Linked DNA regions of Diceros bicornis minor. The protein of the gene in region 4 interacts with the protein of the main gene of each other region in a pairwise test. Links are inferred from orthologs where the notes say so. Each region holds a gene or a part of one and is shown on either strand. Other genes may lie near its edges.

The links.
Region 1: the proteins of DLG4 (region 4) and SYNGAP1 interact in a two-hybrid assay, tested with the Homo sapiens proteins (2 studies listed by BioGRID and IntAct). The link is inferred for Diceros bicornis minor from reciprocal best matches to the Homo sapiens genes DLG4 and SYNGAP1.
Region 2: the proteins of DLG4 (region 4) and DLGAP4 interact in a two-hybrid assay, tested with the Homo sapiens proteins (2 studies listed by BioGRID and IntAct). The link is inferred for Diceros bicornis minor from reciprocal best matches to the Homo sapiens genes DLG4 and DLGAP4.
Region 3: the proteins of DLG4 (region 4) and DLGAP3 interact in a two-hybrid assay, tested with the Homo sapiens proteins (2 studies listed by BioGRID and IntAct). The link is inferred for Diceros bicornis minor from reciprocal best matches to the Homo sapiens genes DLG4 and DLGAP3.

What each region holds. Positions count from the first base shown.
Region 1 is NC_080753.1:31,071,818-31,078,708, forward strand, and holds the start of SYNGAP1 (ras/Rap GTPase-activating protein SynGAP), read right to left. Parts: upstream 3,001-6,891; 5' UTR 1,031-3,000; coding exon 964-1,030; intron 1-963. Other genes in the region: protein CutA, read left to right, coding at 3,358-3,399, 3,666-3,874, 4,065-4,124, 4,233-4,278, 4,406-4,455, 4,578-4,704; PHF1 (PHD finger protein 1), read right to left, coding at 5,246-5,534, 5,692-5,772, 6,040-6,134, 6,223-6,412, 6,535-6,639, 6,808-6,875. UniProt on the Homo sapiens protein: Major constituent of the PSD essential for postsynaptic signaling. Inhibitory regulator of the Ras-cAMP pathway.
Region 2 is NC_080758.1:23,522,139-23,529,157, reverse strand, and holds the start of DLGAP4 (disks large-associated protein 4), read left to right. Parts: upstream 1-4,000; 5' UTR 4,001-4,218; intron 4,219-7,019. UniProt on the Homo sapiens protein: May play a role in the molecular organization of synapses and neuronal cell signaling. Could be an adapter protein linking ion channel to the subsynaptic cytoskeleton. May induce enrichment of PSD-95/SAP90 at the plasma membrane.
Region 3 is NC_080752.1:49,327,630-49,335,123, reverse strand, and holds the start of DLGAP3 (disks large-associated protein 3), read left to right. Parts: upstream 1-4,490; 5' UTR 4,491-4,636; intron 4,637-7,494. UniProt on the Homo sapiens protein: May play a role in the molecular organization of synapses and neuronal cell signaling. Could be an adapter protein linking ion channel to the subsynaptic cytoskeleton. May induce enrichment of PSD-95/SAP90 at the plasma membrane.
Region 4 is NC_080757.1:11,065,074-11,072,385, reverse strand, and holds the start of DLG4 (disks large homolog 4), read right to left. Parts: upstream 3,011-7,312; 5' UTR 2,567-3,010; coding exon 2,537-2,566; intron 1-2,536. Other genes in the region: ACADVL (very long-chain specific acyl-CoA dehydrogenase, mitochondrial), read left to right, coding at 5,423-5,469, 5,561-5,636, 5,912-5,977, 6,061-6,133, 6,234-6,298, 6,411-6,545, 6,986-7,130. UniProt on the Homo sapiens protein: Postsynaptic scaffolding protein that plays a critical role in synaptogenesis and synaptic plasticity by providing a platform for the postsynaptic clustering of crucial synaptic proteins.

The DNA.
Region 1 (6,891 bases), on a different chromosome or scaffold from region 4:
CTGCCAGATAGAAGAGAGAGAGAGAGAGAGAATGGGCACCAGAGAAGAGGCTGATATAGGGGAAGGACAGAAGGGGGACTCATATAAGGAACGGACACCATATGGGGGGAAAGATATAGGTGATGGACACCAGAGGAGGGAGGGGGAATGGAAATAAGGATTGGAGGTGGGGGAGGGGAGTAAAAGTGGGGAAGTGAAGGGAGCGGATAAGACTCCAGGGGTTACATTTCACTGGCCTTAATGAGGATCAGAGCCTGGGGCAGGGTCCTGACCTGGCCCCTACTCCCATCACTCAATCTTACTTGTATTGCCCCCCTCCCCCGGCAACAAACACACACATAATTTGGTCCCCCCCACTGCCCTGGTCTCTCCTCCCCCAACCCATTCCCTCTTTCCTCTCTTCCCTCCATCTGGACCCTTCTTTCCTCCCCCCCCCTGCCACCCTCTCTCTCCATCTGGCCCCTTCTCTCCCTCCATCCTCCTCTCTTTTTCTACTCCCTACCATTCTCTGAGCCCCCCCACCATAATCTGTCCCCCATCTTCTTGGCTTCTCTTTTCACCCCTGTGTTTTCATTTCCCCCTCCTAGCCCCTATCCTAAGACTCTGTCCTTCTATTTCCTTGATATTTTCCTCATCTCTCAGCTCCCACCTCCAAATTATTTCTGCAGCTCTTCCCCCAACCCTATCCTTCTATCTTCCCACCCTTTCTGGCAATCTTTCCCCTTCATCATTTTCCCCCCAGTCCCCTTAAAAGCCTGTTTCCTGGCCCCTCCAGCCCCTATCTACCCCTATCCTCTAGCCTCCAACCCCTCCTTCCCCGTTGCTCCCATCCCTGCCTTCCCGGTCCTCCTTTCTCCCTACATTTCAGCTGCTCCCCTCCCTGGCCCCAGCTCTGCACCCCCCACCCCTGCCCCTCCCCCTCCAGCCCCCCCCCAGCCCTCCCCCTCCCCTCAACCACCGTACCTCTGAAGGGGGCATAGGACATCGCGGGGATGCTCCCCCGATGGATGGAGGCGCGAGACCTGCTCATCAGGCCTAGGGGGGAGGGGGCGGGGGGACGGGGGAGAAAGAAGAGAGAAAGAGGGGGAGAGAGAGGGGGAGAAGGAGGAGGAGGTGGAGGAGGAGGAGGAGGAGAGAGGAGGAGAGAGGAGCGGAGAGGAGCAGAGAGGAGGAGAGAGGAGGAGGAGGAGGAGAATAGGAGCCAACGGCAGCAGCGGCAGCCGGGAGAGAGAGAGAGGGGGGCGGGGGAGCGAGCGAGAGGAGAGAGCAGGAGGAGGAGGAGAGAGAGACTCGGCAGCCCCCACCCCTACTCAGTGGGAACCAGAGAGAGAGAGAGAGAGAGAGACCCCTGACTCAAAAACACACCAGAGAGAAAGAGAGCAGTTCTAAAGATGCAGACCCCAGACCCTGAGATCGAGAGACCCCAGACCCACAGAGGAAGATACCTTGCCACCCCTGGGAGTTAATCTGAGGCACAAACCCAAAATCTAGAGGAAGAGAGACCCCAATCTCAGAAAAAAAGACCCCAGACTCCCCCCTGAGGGGTCAAAGATCAAAAATCTGAGCATCCAGTCTCAAAAAGGTTCTCCATAGCCACAGAAATCTTAGACTCCAGGCTCACGTGGTGATTTTCAGGGACCAAGACCTGAGATGGAGACTCAGAGAAAAAAGATGAGACCCAGATTCAGAAGAACCTAGACCTAGAATTAGGTCTTAGAGAACTCTGACCCAGAGAGAGGTATCAGAGACCCCAGACTTAGATCTCAGAAGAAAGAAATTGCAGACTCAGAGACAGAGACAATCCAGACCTGGGGGGGGGGGAGGGCGAGAAGGGAGAGAGAGAGAGAGAAGAGACACTCAGCTAGCCCAGAGATGGAGAACTCAGAGACCCCAAACACATAAAGAAGAGTTTGAAAGACCTCAGAGAGAGTGATTGCAGACCCAGAAACACAGAAACCCCCCAAACAAAAAGGAAACTCAGTCCCGAGAAAGATCCCAATGCAAATTCTGAAACACCCCATAGAGCTCCATCTCAGAGACAAACTCCAATCCCAAAGACAGAAATCTCAGGGAGATCCTAACCCCAGAGAGGTAGGTATAAGAGAACTCTGACATCAGCCTGGGAAACGCCCAGTCACACCCACCCAGCAGACCAGAGACCCCAGACCTTGGAGGGAGCGGGGATACTGGGTAGGGGGAGTGGCAAGAGCTTTTTTCTCTGTCGCCTCCTCCTACCTATCTCTCCTCTCATTGGCCCCTCTCTCCATTTTTGGGTCACAGGATGTGCTTGGGCCCCAGGGAGGTTATGTAGGGCAGGTCCTGGCTCCTAGGGGGACGGGTTGATGGAAGGAGACCCAAGGCTGAGGCGGTAGACCAGTCCTGGAGAGTCTAATAGTTAGGGGATAAGGGAAAGAAGGACCATCACTACTTCCTGGTGTCTTCTCGGTATCTCTAACCTGCAGCCCTCATCTCTCCCCATCTCGCCAATTCACCAGTCTGTCTCTAGTTTTGGGGTTTCAGTTAAGAAGGCTGAGGCGCCCTCAGCCCCTCTATCCCATTGACAGGGTCTCACTCTGTCCTTTGAAAATGCATCTTTCCTCACCTAGGCATTGTCTTGCCAAGCCCGTGCCTGCCTAATCACTTCCCTCTACCCAGGGACAGCTGGCTTCTCCTCAGATTATCATTGTTCATTCCCAAACCAGGCATCTGTCAGTCCTAACCAAAATGGCAGGGGGCGCTCTCTTCGCCCCCGAGGTTCAATCTTCTCAGACCCTCCCACTCCTTAAGGCCTCGGGAACAGTGTAGGGGCTGTCAGTGGGCACATTCTGGGGTTTAAGGATGATTTCCCACTCCACAACCTGACGCATGGAGTCTGCGGGATCTTTAGCCCCCCCTTTCCTAGCGCCAGCTCTCTCATCACGTGGCCTGCGGGGCTGGCCTGTGATTGGCCTTTTCGTGTCGCTCATTGAGGTACCGCCGCCTGAGGGGCCCGGTCCCCTCACGTGACAGTGGAACGCCGCAGCGGCTCTCCTCAGCCCGCAATGGGCTGTTTCCGGTTTACACGGAAGCGAGCGTGCCATTTCCGTGCACGTCTGCAGATCCGGCTGTCGATTGGTCAGATCCCCCTTCGCTCCTCCCTCACCAGGAGGCGGGGCAAGTTGGGCCACGTGAGGGCCAGGATTGGCTGGCTCTGGAGGGTCGGGTGGTCCGGTTTCTACTGTCACGTGGTGTGCGCTGTTTTCTTATCACGTGGCTGCCGCCCAGGTAAGAAGGGGCAGCTCTTCCTGGCTTTGGGGTCCTTTCTCGGCGTTACGTGTGGCGTTTGATATTCAACGCACCTCTACCAGCATAGACTGCATGAGGGGGGGGCGGGGTCCCGCCATCCTGCTCGGCGGAGGGGTGAGTGACTGGCCCCGCCCCTTCCGGTCCTTCAAGCCGCGGTCACCACCCGCACCCTAAATCCCGGAGGTTGGCCCTTTAGGAGGGAGTGAAAACCAAGTATATGCCATAAATTTTCCAAGTTTCTCTCCCAGTGTCAGGGACCTTTTCCTTCCGGGTGCAGAAGAGGGAGGGCAGAGCCTGAGTGTATATCAAGCCAAGGGTTCCTGGGATGCAATTTCCTGGGGTATTTGCGGGGAGACACTGAATTCACCTCCTGCTCTCAGGCCGCTCTGCTCCTGTCGCTTCTTTGGATGCCAGCGCTGCTGCCTGTGGCCTCCCGCCTTGTGTTGCTACCCCGAGCCCTGCTGTCCATGGCTTCAGGAAGCCCCCCGACCCAGCCCTCGCAGGCCTCGGGCTCTGGCTATGTTCCCGGCTCCGTCTCTGCAGCCTTTGTCACCTGCCCCAACGAGAAGGTTGCCAAAGAGATCGCCAGGTGGGGACATCAGTGTGAAGCAGGGAAGGATGGTCATGAAGGGAGAGTTGGGGGTGGGGGAGAAGCGTGCCCCCTCTGCCTGCTCCGGCTTTGGAAGCCTGTCTCTGGGGCTGCCAGTGCACAAATCTGGGTCATGGGCGCTCTGAATGGGGCTGTCTCTTCACCTTCGGGGCTGTCTCTTCACCTTCAGGGCTGTGGTGGAGAAGCGCCTGGCAGCCTGTGTCAACCTCATCCCTCAGATTACATCCATGTGAGTCATAGGAGTTGGGGGGTTAACCTAACTCCAGGGGCTGACTGGCAGTCTTTTTCCTTGAGCGAAATCTTTGCTCCCACAACACTCTCTCCCTGACCTTTTCAGCTATGAGTGGAAAGGAAAGATTGAAGAGGACAGTGAGGTGCTGATGGTGAGAAACATTCCCCTACCCAACAAAACCTCAATTCCCTGACCCCTTTAACCCCATCCCTCATTTGAGATCCTGAAATCAATCAACCCTTCCCCCTGATTCAACCATGTCTGCCTTTGCCCCTTAGATGATTAAAACCCGAAGTTCCTTGGTTCCGGCTTTGACAGATTTTGTTCGGTGAGAACTGTGAGATGGGTAGGGGTGAGGGTGTATACTGTGGGGTGGGACTTGCTGGGCAGTCTGAGGGGGTGGGCTCCTTTGGGTAAATCTTTGAGCGATCCTCCCTGTCTTTTTTGCAGTTCTCTGCACCCTTACGAAGTGGCCGAGGTGATTGCATTGCCTGTGGAGCAGGGGAACTCCCCATACCTGCATTGGGTGCACCAGGTTACGGAGGCAGTTTCTGACTCCAGCACAGTTCTACCCTGACGAGCCCTGTTCCTGCCATGTTTCCCTCATATACTTCAATGCCCTCTGACTTTCAGGTGATGACTGGGTCCCTAATAAATCCTGTCTTTGGTTCTTGCCACTTTTACCTTTTTCCTTGTCATATATGTGAATTTGGTTGGGAAGATTAGAAGTGCTTCTACTCCCATCTTTCAGAATGACTCGGGGATACCAGATTTGTTTATTTATCTTTATTTCAATCATACAGAGTCTGGGATCCTTTATCATCCCCCCCTCCTCAGTCTCCGTCCCCAGGGGTTAAATAATTTTAAAAAATATTTAAAAAGCTGTAACAAAATAACATCAAAGGAAATGGGAAGAGGGATGGGAGAAGGGTCAGGAATCATGAAGGGAGTAGAGAAGAGAGAGCCTCTTCCCCAACCCCCCACCTGGATTCCAGCCTGGGCAGTAGAGAGAACTACCCCCTACCTCCCCAGGTACATCCCAGCTGTAGGTGAGGTCAGAGGTCAGGGTATGAAAGTGCCGGTGTGTGTGAATAGGGAGGTGGACAGAGGCAGGCTGTTCAGAAGATGCCCCCACCTCCCCACTCAACCAGGTACTGCACAGAGCCATCCGGCCGTACTCTCCGAGCAAGGACCCGGACGGGGTCCCCTCGGGAGAGGTAGCCAACCCCACCTCGGACTCCTCCTCCAGTCCCAGGAGACAAACTACGGCACAAGGGAGAAGGGGGTGCTGAGCGTCTAGGAAGACTTGGGGAGGGGGCTGGGACTGAGGAAGATGAGGCAGTCATCGAATGGGGGGCACTTTTAGGGATGTCTGTGGGGAAACCAATGTGAAGTTCCAGGGGTGACCTAGGGAGAGAGGGCAATTGTGAGTCCTGATGCAGATGAAGACTGACCAGAAATGGAGGCCACATGTGGATCAGAGGAATGAAGAAATGGATAGGAACTGAGGAACTTAAGAACACAGGCAAAGAGGGGTGTCACAGGTAAAGGGGTAGAATCTCACCTGTCTGGGGGTTCACCATCCCCAGAGGTCCCTGCGGTGCTGGCAGAGGGGTGGAAGGAAGCGAACATCCGGATGGGACTGCTGGGGTTGGGGAGGGGGAAAGTCAGGACCTGGGAACAGCACCCTCTCCCCCTGAGAAGGGCAGAGCTCAAAAACTACCCCCAAGGAACCCCCATCCCCTGAATACTGGGGATCGGACATTGGTTCTAGAAGTCTCTCTAGGACAAGAAGTGAGTAGCCAAGGGGGAGAGAGAAAAGAATTTTGGGTGAGAAAGTCCAGAGGATGTAGACAATTGGAGGAGAGGTTCCAAGGGAGCATATCTGGTTGGAGGGTGGAGGAGCACTGACCTGGGCAGACAGCGGGCATCTGTGGGCCGGAAGTTGTAGCCGCTGCTGCCCTGGTAACTCTGGTTAGGGCTGGGGGGTGGTGGAGACACTGAGGCCTGGAAGAAGGAGCACAAGACTGAGAGATAATCCTTGATTCCTTCCCACACCGCCATTTGCCCCATGGCATTCCCTCTGCCCCTGTACCTGCAGTGCCCTCTGCAGACGAGCCCGCTCCCTCTGCTCCTGGGGCTTGGGCTGATTGCGCACTGCTGAGGGTGGCCCCAGCTCCTCCATTTTCCCCTTCTGCCTCCTCCTCAGGGGCTCTGGCTCCGGCCTCCGGCGCTTCCCCAGGGGACGTGAGACCCCTCCCCCAGGGCCCTGCCCTGAAGGGAAGCTGTAAGAGGCCTCCTTATCCCCCCAGCCCCCTCCCGGACACCCCAAAGACCTCCCCATCTCCATACATATACCCCCAGATTAATACCCTGAGAATTTCCCCATCCCCCCTGGACCAGTGACCTGGTGGGGGCTCCATCTCCAGTAGGGGGCTCCACAGGGGGAGGGATCCGAGCATGGAGACCAAACAAGCATTTCCTCTTCTTAATCTCCCTCCCTGAAATGAAACTGGGGTGAGGAGAGAAATGACATAGGGTCAGTGCTGTAGAAAAGCGCCCCTCTGATGCCATTATTCAGTCCTTTTCAGAGATGATCTTCCAGGTAAGTTGTGGCCTCTCCCTTCCCAGGCTTCCATATCCATATCTCCATCTCTTTCTGAGCCTCCTTCCAACTTACCGGTCCTTGTGGCTGTTGAGAGCAGATAGGAGCTTGGAAGAACGTTCTCCCTTGGGGGTGTCTGAGAGCTGGGAAAGCGGAAAG
Region 2 (7,019 bases), on a different chromosome or scaffold from region 4:
GTGGCCAGGTTGGGGAGGTTGTTCATTGTTTGAGGAGCCTTGAGTCGAATTCTTCTGAACAGCCCTGGTTGGTTTGTTTTTTGAATCAACGAGGATTTTGACTTTTCAGGCTTGCCGAATGAGGCCTTCGTTTGCTCCACGTGTGTTTTGAAAAGACCCTCCCATCTGCTACACAAAAGATGGACCGAGGGAGGCTGCAGGGCGCCCAGGGCGCAGCCTGGTGCAGCAGTCTGAACGAGAAATCGAGAATCGAGAAAGCGCCCGGACAGGGGGATGACTCTGGGGATAAAGAGAAGGGGATTTGAGAGATGTTTAGGAGGTTTGACAAAGTGGGACATGGTCTTGGGTTTTATGTACGAGGGGGCGAGGGAGAAGGAGGACAGGGCATAGGATCCTCCTGGCTTCTTGGTTGCCGGAGAGGGTGAGCTGGTTCCAGGTACGAGGTTAGATAGAGCTGCAGGAGCACAAGGCCTCCGGGGAAGGTCACGCACTGGGCCCTGGACACGCAGAGTGTGAGGGTCCACAGGGCAGAGCTGCGGGCAGGAATTTGGCTATGGGGACTGGGATCTCCGAGGGACAGGCTGGGCTGGAGAGAGGAATGTCTGTGTCAGGGAAGGAGGGGAAAGCCAGAGCTTGTGACAATTAGTCAATAACTGTGTATTTAGCATTGAAAATATTTGTCGAGTAGAGTATTCTCTGAGCACCTCCACGTGCCAGGTGCGATGCTGGGCACTGGGGATCTGGCAATAAACTGAATGGACAAAACTCTGCCTCGTGGGGCCGACGTGTTTGTGGGAGGGACAGGCGATAATCAGGATAAATTACTCATTTACGTATCCTATTATATAGTGATACGTGCCAGCGAGAACAATGAAACAGGGAGAGAGAGGCACCGGGAATGCGAGGTAGAGTGTGGGGAGTAATGATATCAGCAGACATGGAGGTTGTGCTCACTGAATTCATTTAAGCCTCACACAAGCCTGATGAGGAAGGTGCTGTAATTACTCCCATTTTAGCAATGAGCAACTGAGTCACAGAGAAGTTAAGAAACTGGCCCAAGGTCACTCAGCTATGTAAATGGCAGAGCCTGGATTTTTAGCTCGAGCCCACGCTCTTCAGTTAAGAGTCTTAATTAACCAGAATGCTGAACTGCCTGTCATTGCCAAGGTCAGGTCTCAGCAAAGATCTGAAGGAGGTGAAGGGGTAAGGCTCACGGACATCTGGGCGACAAGAGAGGACATGAATAATCCAGACAAGAGATGACGATGGCTCATTCCACAGTGGTGGTGGCAGTGCAGGTGCAGCACCGGCTTCTGGATGTGTGTGAAGGTGGGTCCTGGAGGAGCTGCGTTGGCTTGGATGTGGAGCGTGAGGGAGAGAGAGGCGTCAAGGATGACTCCAGGGCTTGGGCCTGCGCAGCTGCAGGGAGAGGGTTCTGTCCACCAAGATGGGGCAGCTGTGGGAGGAACCACTTCATAAAGTACTTTCCACGTCCATTATCTCTTAACCCCCTGGCTACTCTCTGAGGTAGGCGCTGAGGCTCTCGGAGGTTTTGTGACCTGCCCAGGATCATGAGGCCGGAACGTGGCAGAGCCAGGACCAGAAGCCAAGTGTGCATCATAGGGTTTGGAGTTTTGATTCATTCATTCAATCAGCAAACACTTCTGGAGCACCTGCTATGTGCCAGGTGGTGTGCTAAGTGTTGAAAATGATGACCACTGACAATGGCCCTGCCCTCGTGGAGCTCTCAGTCTGTTGGAGGAGGCAGTGTCAACTGATGATCAATGAAATGATTTCCTCACATCAGCATGATAAGTGGTAGAGGGGAAAACAAAAGGAGCCCTAGGAGCCAGTAACCAGGACCTGACCTAGCTGGGAGGTCAGGGAGGGCTTCCTGGAGGAGGTGAATGTGAAGTGCAAAGACCTCTGGGATAGAAGATCTGTGGGAGCATGGGGGGCTTCTTGGGAAAAAACTCCCTGGTTTCCCGGCCATAGTGGAGGAACCCCGAGGGGATCACAGGCTCCCAGAGGACGGCTGCCCATTTGGAAATTGCAGAATCTCTTTTTTTAGTGTGCGATTGTTGATTGTTGGAACAGCTTTATTGAGATAGAATTCACATACCATACAATTCACCCATTTAAAGTGTACAATTCAGTGGTTTTTAGTATATTCACAGAGTTGTGCATCCATCACCATGGCCCATTTTAGAACATTTTCATTATCCCAAAAAGAAACCACGAATCCCTTAGCTGTCACCCCTGCCCAATCCCCCAATGGCAACTGCTAATCTGCTTTCTGTCCCTGCACAGTTACCTGTTCTGGACATTTCGTATAAGTGAAATCATACGCTCTGTGATCTTTTGTGACTGGCCTTTTCACTTAACATGATGTTCTCGAGGTTCATCCACGTTGGAAATCCCAGAATCTTAAACACGATCAGAGCTGGCAGGGACCTGAGAGACTGTCCTGTGTGCTTCTCCCACCTGTTGTAAAGGGGGGACTCGGGGAGGAGACTTCCTCTGGTTCCTCAGCAAGGAAGTGGAGGGGCTCCAAGGTGGGTCATGGGACCCTCAGATCAGGGCCCCTGCCCCACTGCCCTGCACAGGACGCCTCCCTCTGCTGTCGCCTCTTTTCCTTCAGCTTTGGGCTCTGGCTGATTTTGGTTAAAAGTGACAATGTGGTCGGAAACGCATCCTCTCAAGCACTGGATTTTCATGCACTGGCAATTTGCACACCCCATGGTGCATCTTGAAATCTTTTATGCATCTTTAAGAATTTGTGTCCACTAATTCAGAATTTTTTGGAGTTTGGTATTTTCTTTTCTTGCTACTTAAATACTTTTCGTCCAGATGGTTATGCCTGTTTTTCTCAGTTGGTGATTTTCCCACTGGGGGAGACAGGGTGGCATTGGGGTTAAGTGCTGGGTCTCAGAGTCGAATGCCCTGCCTCCTGCTCGGTGTGCACCCGTGGGTAATTACTGAAGCTCTCTGAGCCTTGGTTTCTCCCTTTGAAAAATAGCAACAGCATCATAGGGCTGTGTTGAGGAGGAAATGAGGGCATGCCTGTTGCGGGCCTGGCAAGGGGTAGGTGCGGATCCTGGGAGCTCAGAGGTTGTGAGGGCTTTCCAGGGTGACCAGGAGAGAAAGGGGAACCTCCCCACCGTAGACTGCCCCGTTCTCCATATTCCTGCTTTGAATTGACCCTGTACCTCCCCTCCCAGGCCTGAGAGGTGGAAACGCTGAGCTCAGATCCCAGCCCAGCCACTTGGATTCTGGGCCCCCAGGTCAGCTCGGTTTCCTGTGTCTTAGTTTCTCTACCTGTAGAATGAGAGGGCAGAAAGCAGGGGTTTCCACCGAGGCCTCCAAGGCAACAAGAGGCTCCTGGGGGGGGGTGGAATGGAGGGGCTTTTTCTTCTCCCAGGAGGGCCTGGTTCCTGCTGATGTAAAGATCCAAGCAGGAACCGTGGCACCTGTTCGGGAGAGGTGGGTAGAGAGAGCCACCTGGCTCACAGTAGCTCTCGGAGGAGGCACTCATTCTCATTTGACAAGTGGGGAAACTGAGGCTGAGAATGGGGCAGCTGTCTGCCCAGTGCCTCTTAGTGAGTGAGGGGCTGAGTTGGGATTTGAACTCAGGACTGTGGATTCCAGCCCCTTTCCCAGCTGCTGCCATCCAGGGAAAAGGAGAGAGAAGCAAGATGGGGAGGATCGGAGCCTTTGGAACCCCAGCTTCCCACTGCTGTGGGCATTCTGTGGGTGGTGGGAAAGGCATCGTAAATATGCATGAGATGCAAATACGCCTCTGAAAAATAAGGTGGGGGCCTGCATGATCTGGGATGCCAGAGGGCTTTGGAAAATGTAGTGTTGTCCAGACACTTGGGTTTCTATGATGACTGTTACATGGTGTCCCCCTCCCCAGTGTCTGCAGGGCCAGTCCAGGGGTCTCAGGGTGGAGGGATTATCCTGGTTGCCTCCTAATTAATGTTCTCCCCCATTCCTGCAGGCACCTCTGCCAGGTGCCTGGTAGCCCTGTGTGTGACCAGAACCTGGTCACTCTGGGCGCTGAAAGGCCCCTGTCCCACGCTGCTTCCCACCAGCACCTCTGATCAAGTGCCCAGAGGGATGTGTGTGCCAGCCCTCGGTCCAGCGCCTGCTCCTGAGGTGATGCCTGCTGGTTCCCAACTGGTTCCTGTTTTCCCTCTGCACGTGGCTCCCTGGTTGGTAAGTAACTGCGTCCTCAGGCCTGGGCACACGGAATCAGGGCTGCTCACCCGCCCACCCCTGCTTGGCACAGTTGGGAAATGCCCAGCGTTCTCACCCAGCGGCGCCCACATGCTGGCAAAGGGACCTCAGTGAGAGCTTTTATATGTCTGGGCTCAATTTATAGTTTAACTGTGTGTCTCATCCAGTCCTCCCAACAACTCGGGAGATGGGCATGGTGATTACGTCCGCTTTACAGAGGAAAACACCCTCAGAGAGGGGAAGCCACTTGCCTGAGGATGCACAGCAAGCCCAGCTCTGTCCACCTCAAAGGCCAGCTCTTGCCACACCCAAGGGGCTGGGCAGTTGGTGACATGGGTCCAGGAAGGGAAGGGTAGCAGTGAGCTGTACTGGAAGCCATGGAACCTCTGGGGCCCCCAAGGGGGCTGAAGTGAGACCATCAGAGTTCCTGAATCTTGAGGAGCCCCATTATTTCTGCCCCTCCAGCCTGTTCCACCCACACTCCTCCAGTCCCGACCTTGCCTAACCCCAACATGGGATGAGGTGCAGGGCCCAGCCAGCATCTCTGACCATCCATCTGAGGATGCCGCAGCCTGCCGCCACCCACGCCACCCACTCCTGGTCCTGTCCTCCTTCCCACAACAGCGTGCCCTGGCCACAGCACCTGACACTCACCACGTTCCTGCGTCTCATCCTCCCGCCATCTCCCAAGGCTGTGCAGGCATGACTAGTCCAGTTCAGATGAGGAAACTGATGCTCAAAAGAGCTCAAGGGGCTTCCCCAGGGTCACCCAGCTGCCACTCAGCACTACATGGGACTGTTGGTTTACGATCTGCCTCCTCATCTGGCCTCAGCTCCCTAAGGGTGAGAAATAACTGCTTAATTCCCCACCGGACAGCCAGCAGCTGGCACGGTGCCTGGCATATCATGGGTACAGTAAATGGTTGTGGAAGGAAGGAAAGAGGGAGAGAAGGGAAGGCTCTCTCACCTCCCTCCACCCAGACACCAGCAGGACCCAAGAGACCCCTGGCCTTGTGGCCAGCTGCTGGTCCCTGCTGGCCCCAGAGAGCTTGAGGTCAGCTCGGGCCTTCAGCAAGGCAGCCAGCCCCTCTGGTCTCGACTCTCTCATCTGCCAACAGCTGCCCAGCCTCCCTGATGGGATGGTTATAAGAAGGGAAAAGACTCGTAAATATGTATAATATGCAAATGTCATAGGATAATAAAAAACCTGTGAAGTTTGCTGTAGATAATGTATATAGAAGTGCTTCTTCGAGAATGAGTAGCTGCTTGCTCGTGCGGTGCCAGCCTTGTTATCAATAACCGTGAAAAAGGCCCTGTTAATTAGCTGACACCCAGCCCAGCTCCCCCGATCTGGCCCCTGGCCTGTTGTAGCGACCGCAGACAGCTGTTGCATTTGGCTGAGAAGCTGTCACAGGAAAAGAAGTGATAAGGACATCTCATCTGAGAGCTGTGAGCGTCTGAGGGGTTTAGTCATTCACAAACACTCCTGGGCGTGCCCTGCACCCTGCATTTCCCCCGCAGGGACTACGTAACAGGAGCAACCTGACTGCCAGCAAGCATTTCTTGAGCAATTACTACGCGCCTGGCCTTGCACTCAGTGCTTCATTTTCTTCATCATCTCAGTTAAACTACTGACCACCCTGTGGGAGGTTGGTGGGGAGACTGAGGCATGGACCCGCCGGACCTGGGCGAGAGGGCTCATCTGTCAGCATTCTAGTCCTTCCTGAAAGTTACTGCCATTCAGTGTCCGCCTCTGCCCTCCAGGCCAGGCACCGCCGGAGGGGCCGGATTGTGGCCACTGAGAGCGCAGTGTAGCCGGCAGCGCCTGGTGTGTGTGGCCCAGTGACGGAGAACGGGATTCCTTGGCACGAGCTGGGAGAGCAGCCGTCAGCATTGCGTGGAAAGATGGAGGCCGGGGCGGCAGCGAGGGAGGTGTTACTGCTGCTATTTTGCTAACAAGCTGGTTATTTAAAGAACAGCCGAAGAAGCCGAAGTCGGGAAATCGGATGGGAAGTCTCCACGCCCAGGGCAGAGGCAGCCAGGGGTCTGGGAGCCTGGCTGGGTGGGGGCGGAGTGCCACACATTCTTGTTTTCAATTTGATTATTATTAATAGTAATAGTAACAGCACCATGCAAGTTTGGAAAAGGATTACCTTTGTGGAGAAAAGAGGATGTAGGATTGGGAGGGGGCAAGAGGGGTGTCTGAGGGGCAAGCGGTCTTCTCTTCCTTGACCCAGGTGGTGGTTAGATAACTTTTTGTTTTGTGATCATTTATTTCAGTAAACATTTTTGTTTTGTGCACTTTTTTCTGTGTATTATATTTCATAGTAAAAAGGCTAAAAAGCAATTATAACAATAATAATTAATATTTATTGAGCACTTACTAAATGCCAGGCTCTTTGCTAAGCATTTTACCATGTCTCATTGAATCTGCACAGATTCTGTTGTTCTACCCATTTTACAGAGGAGGAAAGTGAGGCTCAGAAAGGGAAAGTTACTTGCCATGCAGTCAAAGAGAGCTCAGGTGGAGGAGATGGGATGAGAAACTGGACAGGCTGACTCAGGCCAGCATCACTGCCCCGTGTTTGAGGATTGGGGGCCAGGAAGTTCCCCCAAAAGGGCGGGGGTTTCCTCCATCTGTTCCTCAGACATGTGTCAGTGCCTCTTGCATTTTTAACACTTAGGAGGCCAAGCAGGTGTCTGTGGCCATGGGCAGGGGATGAGGCATCTGGAACTCTGACAAGGGGTCAGAGCAGAGCGTTTAGCTAACAAGTATTGAA
Region 3 (7,494 bases), on a different chromosome or scaffold from region 4:
TAAAACAAAAGAAAAAACTTCCCATAAAGAAAACACCAGTTCCAGATGGTTTTACAGATGTGTTTCAACAAGCTTACGAATATCAGATCTTTCCAATCATACAAACTTTTTCAGAGAAAGAAAAAGAAATGACACTCGCCCAACTCATTTTACGAAGCTAGAATAACTTAGATACCAAGTCCTAGACAACAAAGATAGGAAAATATTAGGCTCATTTTATTTATTAATATAGAGCAAAAATCCAAAACAAAATATTAGCAGGTCAAATCCAATGATATATGTAAAATAAGTCATAAAGCTCCTCGAGAAAGTTGGGTTTATCTCAGGCAAGTAAAATTTAATATTAGGAAAATCTCTAAATGTAAATGATCACATTAACAGATTAAAGGAAAAAAACCATATGATCATGTGAAATGATGCAGAAAACCCTTGATAAAATTCAACATACTTTTGATTAAAACTCTTAGGAAATTAGAAATAAAATGGAACTTCCCTTACCTGAGCAAGAGAGGTCTCTAAAAATCCTGCAATAAATATCATCCTTAAGAAAAAATGTCAGAGCACTAAAGTTATAAACAAGACAAACATACCCACCATCACCACTTCTATCTAACGTTGTACTCTAGGACCTGGCTAGTACAATAAGACAAGGAAGATAAGCCAAAAGCAACAGGATTATTTTATTTCCCTAAATATATTAAACATATTTATTTTACGTTCTGTGTCTCATAAGTCCAGTAGTTGAGTTCTTTGCAGAGGCATTTCAGCCGTTTGCTGTTTTTGCTGGTTCTTGTTCTTGGTGTCATGTTTTCTTGTGTGTTTAGTGATATTTGACTGTGTGCTGTTCATTTTATTTGGAACTTTATCTGTGGAAATTATTTGAGGCCCGAGATAAAGGTGAGTTCCTCTAACAAAGATTTACATTTGCTTCTGCCAGGCACCTGGGGTACTACCAGTCTGGGACCATTTTATACTAAATTCTTTGTTTGAGGTTTTTCAGATCACCTAGGTAGAGTGAATTTGATTGCATATGGTGTGAGGTCTAAGTTGTAGTTATGGATTCTCAGGAGATGATTCTTTCTCCCTACACTCATTGCTATTGCCAAGGCTTAAAACAGGTAGTTTTCCTGGCAATTTCCTGCTTGTGGGAATGGGGTTAGTTTTTTCTAGTTCACTTGTACATTAGAGCAGAGCCCTTTGGGGTTCTAAGTTTACGCAGGGGAGTATTTGCCAAACTTGGGTAGACCTTGCAGTTTATCTTCTTTTCCACATGCCCTGAGAGGTCATGAAAACTGAAGTTCAATTTTATCTGTTAGCAGATATCTCTGTATCAGTGATTTATTGCCACAATATTGTGGCATAACACACCATTCCAAAACTCAGTGGCTTAAATTAATAAGCATTTATTATTGCTTAAGAGTCCTCAAATTAGCTCAATAGTTCTTCTCATTCAGTTGGTCTCACTGAAGTATCGGCAGCTAGCCGCGGTCAGGTAGATATCTATGTTGCTCTTGGCCGGGCTCTCTCACATGTTTGGGTGTCTGCTGTTCTATGATGGTCTTGGCTGGAATAGCATGGCTCTCTTGCACCCTGTCTCTCGTCCTCCAGCAGGCTATTCCAGGCTTGTTCTCACAATGGAGGCAGGAGACCCAGAGAAAGAGTAGAAGTATGCAAACCTCTTAAAACTTAGGCTTAGAACTGACACATCATGACTTCTTCCACATTCTATTGGCCAAAGCAAGTTACAAGTCCACCCAGATTCAAGGAAAATAGAGTCCATCTCTTGATGCAGGGAGTTGCAAAGTCACAGGGCAAAGGACATGGATTCAGGGAGAGGTGGAGAGTTGGTATCGTTTTTGCAACCAATGTAGCATAGCCCCCAAGGCTAAAGTTGGCTTCAGTGCCTTGCTTACTTCTCTGGTTCTGCCTTCTCTTACATCTTGGCTGCAGTGATTCTTATTTTCTTGCCAGCTCATTGATGCATTTAAGATTTTATAAAATATTTTATTTATTATTTTTTATCATTTATCACTTTTTCTATCATTTATCACTTTTTCAGCAGAGGATCAACCAAGCACCTAGTCTGCCACACTGCTTGATTGACATTTTGATGAGTTTCTGTCTTTGTACATGTGTGGCTCTCTACCTGTAATTCTCTCTCCCGATCTTTGAGATTCTACTCAAATGCCTCCTTGATGCTTCTTTACTTCTTTGACTGCCCCTCTTCATCTAAGCAGAGCTGGCTGTTGCCTTTAGACTCTAGAAGTATTTTGTGCCTATTTCTGTTAAGGCATGGAATTCCTAATAGAACAACCATAATTTGTGGAGTGCAGAGCCCCTTGTTCAAAAATTATTAAGACTCTCAAGATGGTGACAGCACAGCATTAAACCAAGAGTGGGGCCCTTTTGAGTGTGGGGCTTTGTGTGACTGTACAGCTCACACTCCCATGAAGCTGACCCTGATAGTAATTGTTGGTTTACATCTCCGTCTCCCTTATATATACTGGATGGATGTGAGAGAACACTGTCTAAGCTAAGCCTATCTGATTAATCTTTAATCAAGAGGCTAGCAAGGTGCCAGGTACAATCAATAAATGGTTGTTGAATGAACAAATGAAAACTACACTATGTTCTCAATTCTAAAACACATCATCTCTTTGATAGCAGCTTTAAGAAAAAGTAGAAAACCATATTAAACGTCCCTATCCATTGTAAAATGCTTTCCAATTTCAGTTAACACAAAATGTACATCTTAGAACTGGGAAAACATGGTGGTGCCTTTTAGCATCCTACATGATGGCTGTTCTTACGCTTCATGGAAAGTGAAATGCCTCTTCCAGTTCCAAAGCAGGTTCCTAGGACCAACTTTCAATCTTATTTTCTCTGATATCTGCTCTTGGCTGATCCCTGGGCTGGGAACGGTCTGCAACCTTGGCTCATGATTGACAAGTCTAGACTGAATCGGTCTTACAGGCAGCAGGATAGGTGACCAGCCTGCCAGTCTGCCACCAGACTTCTAGGTTTCCTGGGGAAAGGGTTCTCCAACCCCCTTTATGTCATCTATGTACTGTGGCATCTTGAAACATCTCCCTGGGGAAAGAGGAAAGGGCTTGGCTCCCAGTTCTAACCATTTTGGGCCTGTGACTTCTCTTTCTGTGCCTCGGTTTCCTCTTTACACAAGGAGGAGAGCCAGTGGCCCCAAAGGAGTATAGGAAGAAGGGAATTGTTGGGTGGGCGTTTAATCAGAACTACTGCAAGGTCCGTTCCTAGAGAGGTGGACAGTCGGTCTCCCAAGCCGCCTGAACCCACACCTCACTACCTCAAAGCTTTCAAGATCAGAAAATGTGGAGCAGGAAAGAGGGGAAGAGCGCTTTGAGGATGCGTACTACTCTCCATCCCAACTTTCAGCGCCTGAGGCAGTGTTCCCTCACACCCACCCTGGGAAATCAGAATCCAGACCAGCCCCTCCCCTACATCTTCAGCCCCTCCCGCTGCGGCTTCCCCAGTGCGGCCCCCTCCCCCCCATTACAGCATCGTTCTGGGCGCCAAGACGGATTCAAGCCAAGGGACTGCTGCAGTCAGCTCTCCTCCGCCTCTCCTGGCTCCTGCAGCCTGTGTCCTGGCTCTGCAGCCTCTGGCTGGGCTTCGGACAGTCCCCTTTCCCTCTCCCCCCCTCCCCGCCCCCGCCATGGCACAACCCCTGGCTCAGGGCCTAGAGGTGGGCGGGCACAGTGGGCATGGGTGGGGGCCCCAGCAAAGTCGGCAGGTATAGCGGGGTTCTCCCTCCACACTGGGGATGCCTCGGCTGTGCGGACTGTGGGTGGGGAACGCCGGTCGGTGGCTCTGAGGCAGGACACAGCGCCCCACCTCGGCCGGGGCTGGGGCAGAGGAACGGGGCTCCTTGAACCGAGGGCAGGAGCTGAAGTCGGGTAGCTGACCCGCAAAACCCAAAGGAGAGTCTCCTTAGGGGATGTGCCTGGGGGGCCGTGCGTGACATTCAGGATGTGACTGTGTCTCGGTGGGGCGCGAGACCGTGTCTGTGAGACTGTGTGACTGTCTCCCCAACCGCCTGCCTCTGGGCTCGGGTCCCTGTGCCTAGGTCGGCTGTGCGTGGCCGTGACACTGTGTGTCTGTTCTTGGGTCCCCGGCTGACACTGACCCAGTGGTCCCGGGGAGGGGGAGCTTATTCCCACCCCCGGGGTGGGCCTCCCCAGCGCTGTCGCTCAACGAGGCGGGCGCTCCTCCGAGACCCCGGCGGCCGCCCGCCGGCTGCGACCTCGGCCCTCCCGGGTCCGGTGCGGGGGCGGGGAGCTCGGTCTCCCCCTCCCTCTCGCGGGCTCCGGGCTCGGCGGCCCTGCGCGGGGGCGGGGGCGGGGGCGGGGGCGGAGCGCGCGGGCGGGATCCCCCCGCCTCCCCTTCCTGGTCCCCGGGAAATCCAGCCTCCGTGGCTTGGCCGCCTCCCGCTCCCGCGCCCGCTGCCGCTCGGCGCTCGCTCGGGGCTCCGCAGCCGGCGCGGCCCCTCCGCCGGGGGCTCCGCAGTGCCGGGCCCCGTCCCTGCCCGCCCGCCCGCCGCCGCAGCGCCCCCAGCCCGGGCCGCCGGCACCATGTAACCCGGCCGGAGCCCGAGCCGGGCCAGGTAAGCCGCGGGGAGGGGTGGGGACGGGGCCGCGCTCGCCGCGCCCTCTGCAGCGCCCCCCAGCCTCGGCCTGGCTGCGGCCCCGGCGCCGCCCACGCCCCGGGCTCCGGCGGCCTCGGCTCCCGGCCCCGGGAGGGGGGAGGCTGGGCCTCCTTCGCCGCCCCCGCCCCCGCCCCGGCCTGACGGCCCGCGGGCCTGACCCCAGGGACCGGCGAGGGGACCACGCGGAGCGAGGACCGGCTCTCCGGCCAGAGCCGCCGGGGCCGGCCAGCCCTGGCCCGGCTCTGGCCCGGCTGGAGGCTTGGATCTGGGAGGGAGTAGCCAGCTGGGTTGTGGGGGGAAGTGGTGGTGTTGGGGAGATCCGGAGAGAAGTTTCCTCTGCAGGTGTGTAAGTGTGAGTGCGTGTCACTGTGTGTCTGTGATGAGAGTGTGTCACCATGTAGGTCTGTGGGTGGTTGTGTGTGCCAGTGAGTGTGTGCAGTGACTCGGTGCGTGTCACTGGGTGTATGCAGTGTGTGTGGAGGGTGTTACTGTGTATGTGTCTGTGGACATGTGTGTGAATGAGTGTGTGTGTTGTCACCGTGTGTGCCTGTGTATGTCTCTGTGAGTGTGTATGTGAAGGGATGTGTGTGTGTGCTGGTGTGACTGTGTCTCTGTGAGTGGGTTCAGGTATCTGTGGCCTGTGTGTGTGTGTTGGCTGTGTGAGAATGTATCTGAGCAGGGTTCACTCTGAATCACCCACACCTGGGCTTTGTCCCCCCTCCCCCCAGGGATTCCTGGGGGGTGGGGGGCATGGGAGAGGGAGATCAGACTTTTTAGAGGTCAGCTCATCCCCCTCCCCAGGGACTCCTCACCCCTGACTCAGGCAAGAGCCATGCTGCACTCCCCACCTTGGTCCCCACCTTCACCCACCTCAGGGGGTACCCTCTGTGATGCTGCTGGTTGTGTCCTTGCTGCATGCTGGGACCCCTGGTGGTGGTGGGGCCTGGGGTGAGCTGGAGTATGTGTGCTTCTTCTTGGGGCCTGGGAACTTGTGTCATCCCAATAATGTTTCACCAAAGGCCCTTTAGAGCCTGGAGCTGAGGAGGCCAGGTGGAAGCTTCTGCCCAGTTCTTAGTCATCAGAGCAGGTGGTTGTCTCCCAGACTTCCAAGCCCTCAATTTCCAAGTTCTGGGTCATTGGTTCAGCCCACTGGCTCTAGGAGGGTCTGTGCTAAAGCTCTTTGAAGTAATAATAATGATAATAATATGCCCTTTTATCAGTTTAGGGCTTTTGAAAAATGCTCCCCTCTCAACTCTTTCTTCTTATCTCCGCAAAGGCCCCAGGAAACAGGCAAGCTAGGTTAAGCCATATGAAATTGCCAATATTCAACTTTTTGTTTTTTACCTACAAAAATAGCAATTTCGTGTAGTTCATCTTAATATAATGCCAATTTACAGATGAGGATGTTGAGGCTCGAGAGGTGAATTGCATTTCCCATAATCCCACACTGCTAGTCAGTGGTACAGAAAGACTCCAACCCAGGTCTTTTGGTGACCCGCAGAGCTGGGCTGGGCCGAGGTTAGAGAGGGATACCCCCTGGTGTCCTCTCTCTGACCCTGGGGGCACTGATCTCCACCTCCACCTAGCATTCCCTGAGTGCTGGGGCTACTTTTGCACCCAGCTGCCAAGGCCTAAAAGGGAGAGAGGGGGAGAAGAGAGGAGGGAGGGGAGGGAGAGGCTTCGTGAGTTGGCAGTGAATCAGGGTCTAAAAAGGGAGCGGGAGGGCTAGGGTGGCAGGTGTTTCTAAAAGGAACATGAACATAGGATGAACAGCATCAGATACAACCCCCGCATCCCCCACCCCCAGTGCCCCACTGATCTGGCAGGCAGTGCCCACTGCATTCTATGCCAGGGGGCTCACTTCCAAGGAGTGAGCTTGTGTGTAGCTGTAGAATGATGGCCAGGGGAGGAAACTTAGAATTGACTTGATCCAAACTCTTAATTGTCAAGTGAGGACACTGAAGTCCAGAGAAGGGAGGGGACTTGCCCAAGGTCACACAGCAAACTTGTGGGTTCCTGGCTAGTCTTAGCCAAGGAACTTTCCAACCCTCCATGTTGCTTTCCATTCCTGCCGCCCCCCCCCCATGCCATCAGAGCTGACCAGAGGGAATCTGGGGAGAAGGATCAAAGACTCAATAAGCCTAAGGCTGTAGATCCTTCAACTTGGGACCCCTTTCCAAAGAGAGGAAGCTACAGACCTTCCTGGGGATGGGGATTCCTAGCCATACCAATCACTGAGGTAGGCCATGGGCTTGTCTTGATTCCTGCTGGTGAGGCACTGAAGCTGCTGCAGGCCAGACTCCCAGACTCTCTTCTGTGACAGTGCCTGCTTTCAGCTGCTGCCTGGCACCTCACATCATCTCCCTCCAGCTGATGTTGGGCTTGAGCTGGCTGAGCTCCATTTTCCTTCATCCTACCCGGTTTCTGATGCATTTTCCCTCTAGCTGGCCTGACAGTTCTTTACTCTGTGGGTTCCTGTTGGGTAGAGAAACTTCTGGGGCTTGTCTGATTTTGGAAGAGTCTGTAGTTACCCTTAAACCCTTTCTAATTAAACATTCCAGGAGCCTAGGGTAAATGATAAAGATAATTGTCCCCATTTTACAGATGGGAAGGCTGAAATTCAGAGAAAAGCCTACTATTTGGTTGGTTTTTCTCTTAATCTGCTAAGATCAGTTGAAGAGGTTCTTGGAGCGAGGGGATGAAGGGAGCAAATGACAACAGCAGCTTTTGTGTAGAGGGGCTTCTACAGACCACTTCCAGTATCTTACCATCGCTGTGGTCAGGAGACCTTTCCAGGGTCTGATTTCATTCCCACT
Region 4 (7,312 bases):
CAATGAGGACCACCCGGGGGGTTTAACCGCTTCGCCTCCGGGGCTCTGGCCAAATACCCCCGGTCTTTCCCCACTTTCTCCCCTCCCCCACTTGTTCTGCTCCGCCCTCCGCCACCCGCGCCCGGCCCTCAAGTTCGCCACGCAACTTCAGTCGTCGCCGGTTACCATGGCAACGGCGGCAGCAGCGCGGGGAGAAGGGGGAGGGACGGGGGCGGAGTGGGAGAAAGATGCTCAGAGACAGAGAGACAGGCAGAGATATAGGCACGGAGTAAGACTAAGTGATAGCTATAAAGGCAGAGTTAGCACAAAGCACAGGGCCTGGCACATAGTGGCATTCAATAAATGTTCCTTAAATCACTGCGGCAGGAGTCTAAATATAGGCAATGAAAAATGGAGGACTCAGACGGAGCTGGGAAGCTCAACGACCGCAAAGCCTGGGCACCCCCTTCCCCACACAGCATTTTGGGGGAAAAAGTGCCATGTGCCCCCTGCTGGCTCCTCCTGGGCTACCCTTCGCTGCCCTGGATAGAGATGAACCACAACTCCCAACAGCCCCACCGGCAGCAGCCCTCTAACACTGAGGGATCTTGTGCCTCAAGGTCTTATGGGAGTTGGAGTCCCCGCCATCCCAAGACTGCCAAGTTTTCCGGCCAAGTAATATGGTAAGCCTGGGTCTCCATGCCTCTGTAAAACCCCAAATGCATGATCCTCTCTGCACAAGGCTCTTTCCTTCGGAGAGGCTCAACCCTGGGCTCCATCGAAGAAGTAGGAGTCTGGAAGGGAAATGAATAAGCCACCCTCCCAGAATAGCTGCCAGTGCAGGCAAGCCCCTCACCCTCACTGGCGTTATGTTCACGTGTTGGAAGCAGAGCCTACACATTCCAACTGGCTCTCTGTGTACACCTGTACACAGGAGACCACAGCCAGGGAGCCTAAGGTTAAGGGGCAGGCTAAGGGCAGGAGACAGGTGGAGCAGAGGATCAGATAGACATTAAAGGAGACCAGGCCAGAGAAACTGAGGCACCAAAATCCACTGAAACTACAGGGGGTGAGGGAAAGAAGCAGTGTGGGAGAAAGCCCAAAGCCCACAAAACAGGGTACAAGCAAGTAGCCCTGGAGAGGGGGTGGGGGCTCCGAACCTAAAGGTCCTCAGCCCCCAGTCTCTTCCATCCATGCTCACATGTGTACAGCGCATGTGTACACACATGTGTGAGTTTGTGGCACAGAACATGTGTGTCCTCAGCTCCCTCCCCTGAGAAGCTGCAGTTCCCACTAAATATAACCCCCTCCCCAGCCAGTGACTCACCCGGACCCCGCCTCCCCGGCCCCCACTTCCTGTCCCACCCCCCAACCCCCAGCTGCCTGCCACCCGCCCAAGCCTCCCTCCATACACCAGGCATCCAGCTTTCCAGTTCCAGAGTCTCCCGGCCAAGACCTAGGTATTCTGCATCCCACCAGGAGCTTGCTTGCGCTCCCCATCCAAGATCTCCTGCCCTTTCCAGGCCCCAACCACAAGGCCACCTTTGTACAGATCCTTACTGCTGCCAGCCCTGCCCTCCTCCTACTCCTTTTCACCCCAGTAACCTTAAATCCAGGTGTCCCCCCAACCTTGATCCTAAGTGTCAGGGGTAGTAACAGGAACAGTCCCCTCCATCTGCTCTTCTCCCTCTTTCTCAACCAGGGGTAGATACAGTGTAGGAGGGGATGGGGACATTGGGAACCTGCCTGGGCCACCTCCAAATTTTGTACCACCTACCTGGTTCCCCTCCTTAAATCCCCTCTCTCTCAAAACCTCCCATCGTCCTCCTCAGGAGCTGGCAACCTCAGCTGCCGCAACCTTCTACGTCCCATGGGAGTACCCCCAAATCCTAACCTCACCTGGTCCATTCCCTCAGGTGATCCTATGCCAGACCCCAGCCCTCTGACAACTCCCAACTATCCCCATTCCATATGATCGAACCCTAAATTAACAGTTCCTTCAAATTGAGCAGACCCTCAAATGTATCTACCATGAGACGCTTGTTCCATAGCCTGAAGGCCCACCCTTTCCCTGCCAGCTGACACCCCCAGACCAGTCAGGCACTCCCAACCAATAACCTTCTACCCCCAAGCCAGGAGCCCCCTGAAATTAGACAAGGCACCTGGAAGCCAGCTTGTCCCCCAGGGGGAAAAAGGACCCCCCCACCACGTAGTCCACCTAACATACACAAGAGCAGAACTCCCATGTGAGCTAGGCTTCTCCTTAAATAAGTCTCCCTCAAACATCATTGGTGAACCCCAAAACCCACAAGACCCCCCAAACCATGGAATACACCAAATTTTCCATTTCTCTACAGGTACAAAGGGATCACTCCGGGGGCACCTGTGGCCAAACCAAGCGTTTTCTCAGATGTGCACCCCAAAAGTAAATTATGACCCTGAGATACATCTTCTGATGCTCTCACTCCAGGCCCCCTGGCCCCAGATTAGGCCTGCCTAACCCCTCCCCACAAACTCATACCCTCCCCCCAGTTTACAGACCCCCCATCACGCTTACCTTGGTTGTCACTATACAGAGACAGTCCATGTTGGGGGGCCTGGCCGCGGCGGCGGGTAAGGGGCTCTGACTTCATCGGAGTTTCCTTCCTCCCCTCCGTCGGTTCTCACCCCTCCCCCCTCCGCACCCCACTTTTGCAGGGGGAGCCAGGATGGGGGGAGGGGTGAGAGGGGAAAGAGGGGGTTGGAGAAGGAAAAGGTAGGGAAGCGTGGGAGGGAGGGGAAGGGGGCCCTAAAAGGGGGTCCCCAATGGAGGGGAGGGGGCTCGGGGAGCACACCCCGATTCTCAGGAGGGGCGGGGGCACCGGGGGCTGGCAGCCCCGGAGTTCGGGGGCTGGGGCATGAGCTGAGGTGGGGGAGGGGAACTGGATTCTGGGGAGCCCCGGGGTAGGGGGGGGTCTTGCCTAACGGCCAGGGGCTAGGGGCCGTGGCGGGGGAGTGGGGTGGGGGGGTCGGAGGCGGCAGCGGCCGAGGGAGCCGTGGAGCCGAGGAGGGAAGGGGAGAGAGGAGGAGAGAGGAAGCAGGGGGAGGGAGGGAGCGAGCGAGGAGCGAGAATGGGGGGGGTGCCTTGGCAGAGTTAACTCCTTCAGTGCTGGCAGGAACCCGGATAATGGGAGAGGAGATGGAAGCAGGAGAGGAGAGGCCCTGAGGCAAACATGGAGACCTGGCCAGCCACCAGCGATACAGCAGAGACGATGAGGATGGGTTTCATTTCTCAGAGGAAGCACCCAGAGTCGGGCTGGGAGCACCCACGGTTGTTTAAATACTGGAGACAGCCCGTGATAGGGGGCAGGGGGTGAGGGAGGGGCTGGCAGGAGGGAATCCCTGGGGGCCTAGTTCTCCCTCGGGATTCACAGGAGGAAGCCTGAAAAGTAATTACGTCCTGGACTCTTAGTGCCTGAAATTGGGGCAGGCAAAGAAAGGGGGGAAGCAAGAGGGAGAAGAGGCTGCAGGACAGGAGAAAGTGCATTCTCCATGCCCCTCACTCAGAATTTCATCCCCAGGGCCCCCAAGTCTCAGTTAAATATTAGCAGTGCCTCCCTCAGTACTTTGCTCCAGCCCTGCCTCCTCCCTCAGGAAGTCAGTCCCCCCACCCCACCCCCTTACCTGACTCTCTGAGATGGAAGCCTCATAATAGTCCAGGATGTCTGTCACAGGAACAGAACTGAGTTACCCTCCCCTGCCCCTGCCTCCCTGGCCATCCCTGCCATCATTGGCCTCCTTCTGTCTGGTCAGGGAGGAGCTCCTCCAGCCGAGCCTGGTGGACGCTGATGGAGGACACTGTCAGGATGACCCCTGCGGGGGCTCCTGCTTGAACCAAATGATCTCCAGGCTCTCAACCAGCCCCTGAGATGGATAATTGCCCTCGCAGGATCAGGCCAGCCCTTTCCACCACTGCCCCTCAGAAAATTGGTGCTACTCACCCAACAAGGCCTGGAAGAGGTCACTGTGCAGCACCGTGAGGAGAGGGGGTGCCCATCGCAATAGTGGGGGGGCCAGGAGCCAGAGGGCTGACCTGGGAGCTGGTGAAATGCAAGTGAGGGAGGATTGGGACAAGGAAGAGACAAACAGATCAGCATACTCACTCACCTCATCTTTCCCCAGCCTTTGCCCTTTCACCCCAGACTCTATGGAAAGATTCGGGGAGAAAGAGTCCCAGACGCCCACTCCACCCCTAGGCCTCTCCTCCGCAAGGACTCTTGTTTTTCACCTCTTGGTCTCTCGGACATCTCTCTCTTCTCTCACTTTAATCTCGCTAATCCTCCAGGATTGAAGCTGAGCTGACATCTCCTCACCCAATTCCAGCTGTTAGGTAAAGGAGGCAGTCTCTGAACCCACCCGCTGTCCCATTCTTCCCCGGGTCCCCAGACACCACCACCACCACCACCTTGCTCCACACACCCTGGCCCCTCTCCCCAAAGCCAGACATGACTTAGCTATACTTTCCTGAGGGACTAGGGAAGAGGTCACTACCAAGGAGGCTCCTGCTGCACAAAAAGAAAGGAAGCTTAGCCCAGCTCTCTCCCCTCCTGTGCCTGTCCCCAGTAGGAATGGCAGAAAGAAGGGTATAAATTGCCTAGGACTTCTTGACCCAGTGGGAGAGGGAGGGACATGAGAATTCCTACAGTTCCTCTCAGGCCTGGGAAGAATCCATGTGCTCAGAGGTCTTGCCTGAGTGCGTGGTCTCAGGAAGGAACAGAGGGCAGAGAAAGATAGATGTTCAAGAAGGCCTCAGAGGCCCTAAGGGGGAAGCAGTGAACCCCGGGGGTTGTTCCTACTGTGAACACTGTGAAAATTTAGGTGTTTCCAGAGTTAGTGACACCTCCTAGGTCTTGGGAGAATATGCTTAGGACACTCACATCCCAACTTGAGTCCCCCACTCCACCAGTTCTCTTCCTTTTGTATTGGTGGAGACAGATTTCAAGAAAGACCCCAAAGAGTCGTCTTTCCATGCCTCTACCTCTGGCATCTATCTTACACGGCTCTCTTCCCACCTCTCCCTTCTAACTCTACCTGGGAAGTCCTCCCTTCAGTCTACCCTCCATCCCTCTGGCTGCAGTCGCCTAAGCTTCTCCCTCTTCAGTCCCAGCCTATCTCATCACCCCTTCTGAGGGCTGCACTCTAGTTCCGACAGGCAGGACGAAGGAGTTTGGGGGAGACAAGGGACGTATGGAGATCATCTTAGGTCAACCAGAATGCAGGCGCTGGGTGGCAAGGAGCGCTGCGGAACTACAGCTCCCAGCATGCCCCGGCGACCGGAAGCCCCGCCCGCCCGCCTCCCGGTGCATTGTGGAGGATGAGTCAGGGGTGGGGGAACCCACACTGGCGGACCGGGCGAGAGCTCTAGGTCAGCGCTCAAGGCAGCGGCGACCGGAGCGGTTCGGAGATGCAGGCGGCGAGGATGGCCCCCAGCGTGGGGCGGCAGCTGCTGAGGTTGGGGGGCGGAAAGTGTGTGTATGACAGGAGGGACGGGGGGGCAGCAGGCCTGGGGACCCGCCCAGAACTGAGCCCCCACTCCCCACAGCTCGCGGCCCAGCGCGCTCCTGGGGCAGCCCCGGCCCGGCCCTGCCCGGCGACACTATGCCAGTGGGGCCGCTCAGGTAAGTAACGGTGGCCTTGGGAGTGGGGCGTGGGAGGGGGAGTCCGCCCCGGCTCCTAAGTCCCCGGCGCCGGCAGGGATCTCCCTGTTTGTCCCAGTCACCTGCCGACCGGCCTGGCGCCGAAAGTAGGGGAAAGGGCAGGCCAGGGTGCCCCGGGATGAAACTAGGGGAAAGGTGGCCGGATCCGCCCTCCCCGGCTCCCAGCTCTTCCCTTGGGCTCTCCTTGGCACTTCCGAAGCCTCTTCCCTGACCTCACTAACTGCCGCTTTCCCCAGGCTGCTCTGGACAAGGCAGAGTCCCTCTCCTCTGAGGCTTTGACCAGGGGAAAACGGGCCAAGGCGGTATGTGACCCTGAGGCCGGGAGGAGCTAAGGAGGGGCGGACCCACCTGACAGGTCCCTGAAACCCCCCTTCTCCCTGCGCAGGAATCTAAGTCCTTTGCTGTGGGGATGTTCAAGGGTCAGCTCACCACAGACCAGGTGTTTCCATACCCCTCTGGTAAGGCAAGGTGTAGTCAGAGCTGGGTCCAACACGCGGTTTCCCCTGACAGTCTCGCTTGACCTGTTTTCCCCACCCACTCATTCACCAACCCCCGCAGTGCTCAACGAGGAGCAGACACAGTTTCTCAAAGAGCTGGTGGGACCTGTGTCCCGTTTCTTCGAGGTGAGGAATGACTGGGGCTGGGGACTAGAGAGTTTGGTCCCTGATGGGGTGGGGGAGAGATTAAGGAGCTTAAAAGGAGCCTGGATCCACGTGGAATCCTGTGCCTTCCTAGGATGTGAATGATCCTGCCAAGAATGACATGCTGGAGCGGGTGGAGGAGACCACTATGCAGGGCCTCAAAGAGCTGGGGGCATTTGGTCTACAGGTGCCCAGTGAGCTGGGCGGTGTGGGCCTCTGCAACACCCAGGTGAGGAAGCCCCCTCAGTCACTTCCCAGTGTCCAGGTCTACTCAGGCTTGGCAGATTCAGCTCCTTTCTCATCCCTGGGGCTAAGGTCTCTGCCAAGCAACTGCCCTGGAGGCCTGTGGGATGGTGACTCTCCTCATGTGTACACACCCATTCCAAACATAACACTAAACTACATGCAGTCTCCTAGGGACATGGACCTCACCCAGGTTCCCAAGTTCTAATGAATCTCTAAGGTGGGGACTGCCTGACAATAGGGTAGGAAGCCTTCCCACTAAGCCCTGGGACAGACTCGAGTGTCCTTTTCTGCCATGGTCCCATTTCCTCTCTCCACTCACTTTGTGGGGATGCACAGGTCAGGCCCTGCCCTGTTGCTCACACTTTTCTAAGGGCAGGTACCCACGCAGCCAGTTACGGCCTCAGATGCCCACTTCCCCTCCAGTACGCCCGCTTGGTGGAGATCGTGGGCATGCACGACCTTGGCGTGGGCATCACTCTGGGCGCCCATCAGAGCATCGGTTTCAAAGGCATCCTGCTCTTTGGCACGAAGGCCCAGAAAGAAAAATACCTCCCCAAACTGGCATCTGGTGAGGCAGCCCTAGGAGACCCAGGGGTTGGGGGTGTCCTGGGCTTGAGAGAAATTAGGCTGGTGGTCCTTAGATCACCGTGTAGCTGGGCGTGTTGGTTGGGGGAGAGTCTGGGAAGGCATCACAGTGTGCTGGTGGGGAAATGTGAAGAGACTGAATATTGCCTGTGGGCGGGGCGGTAC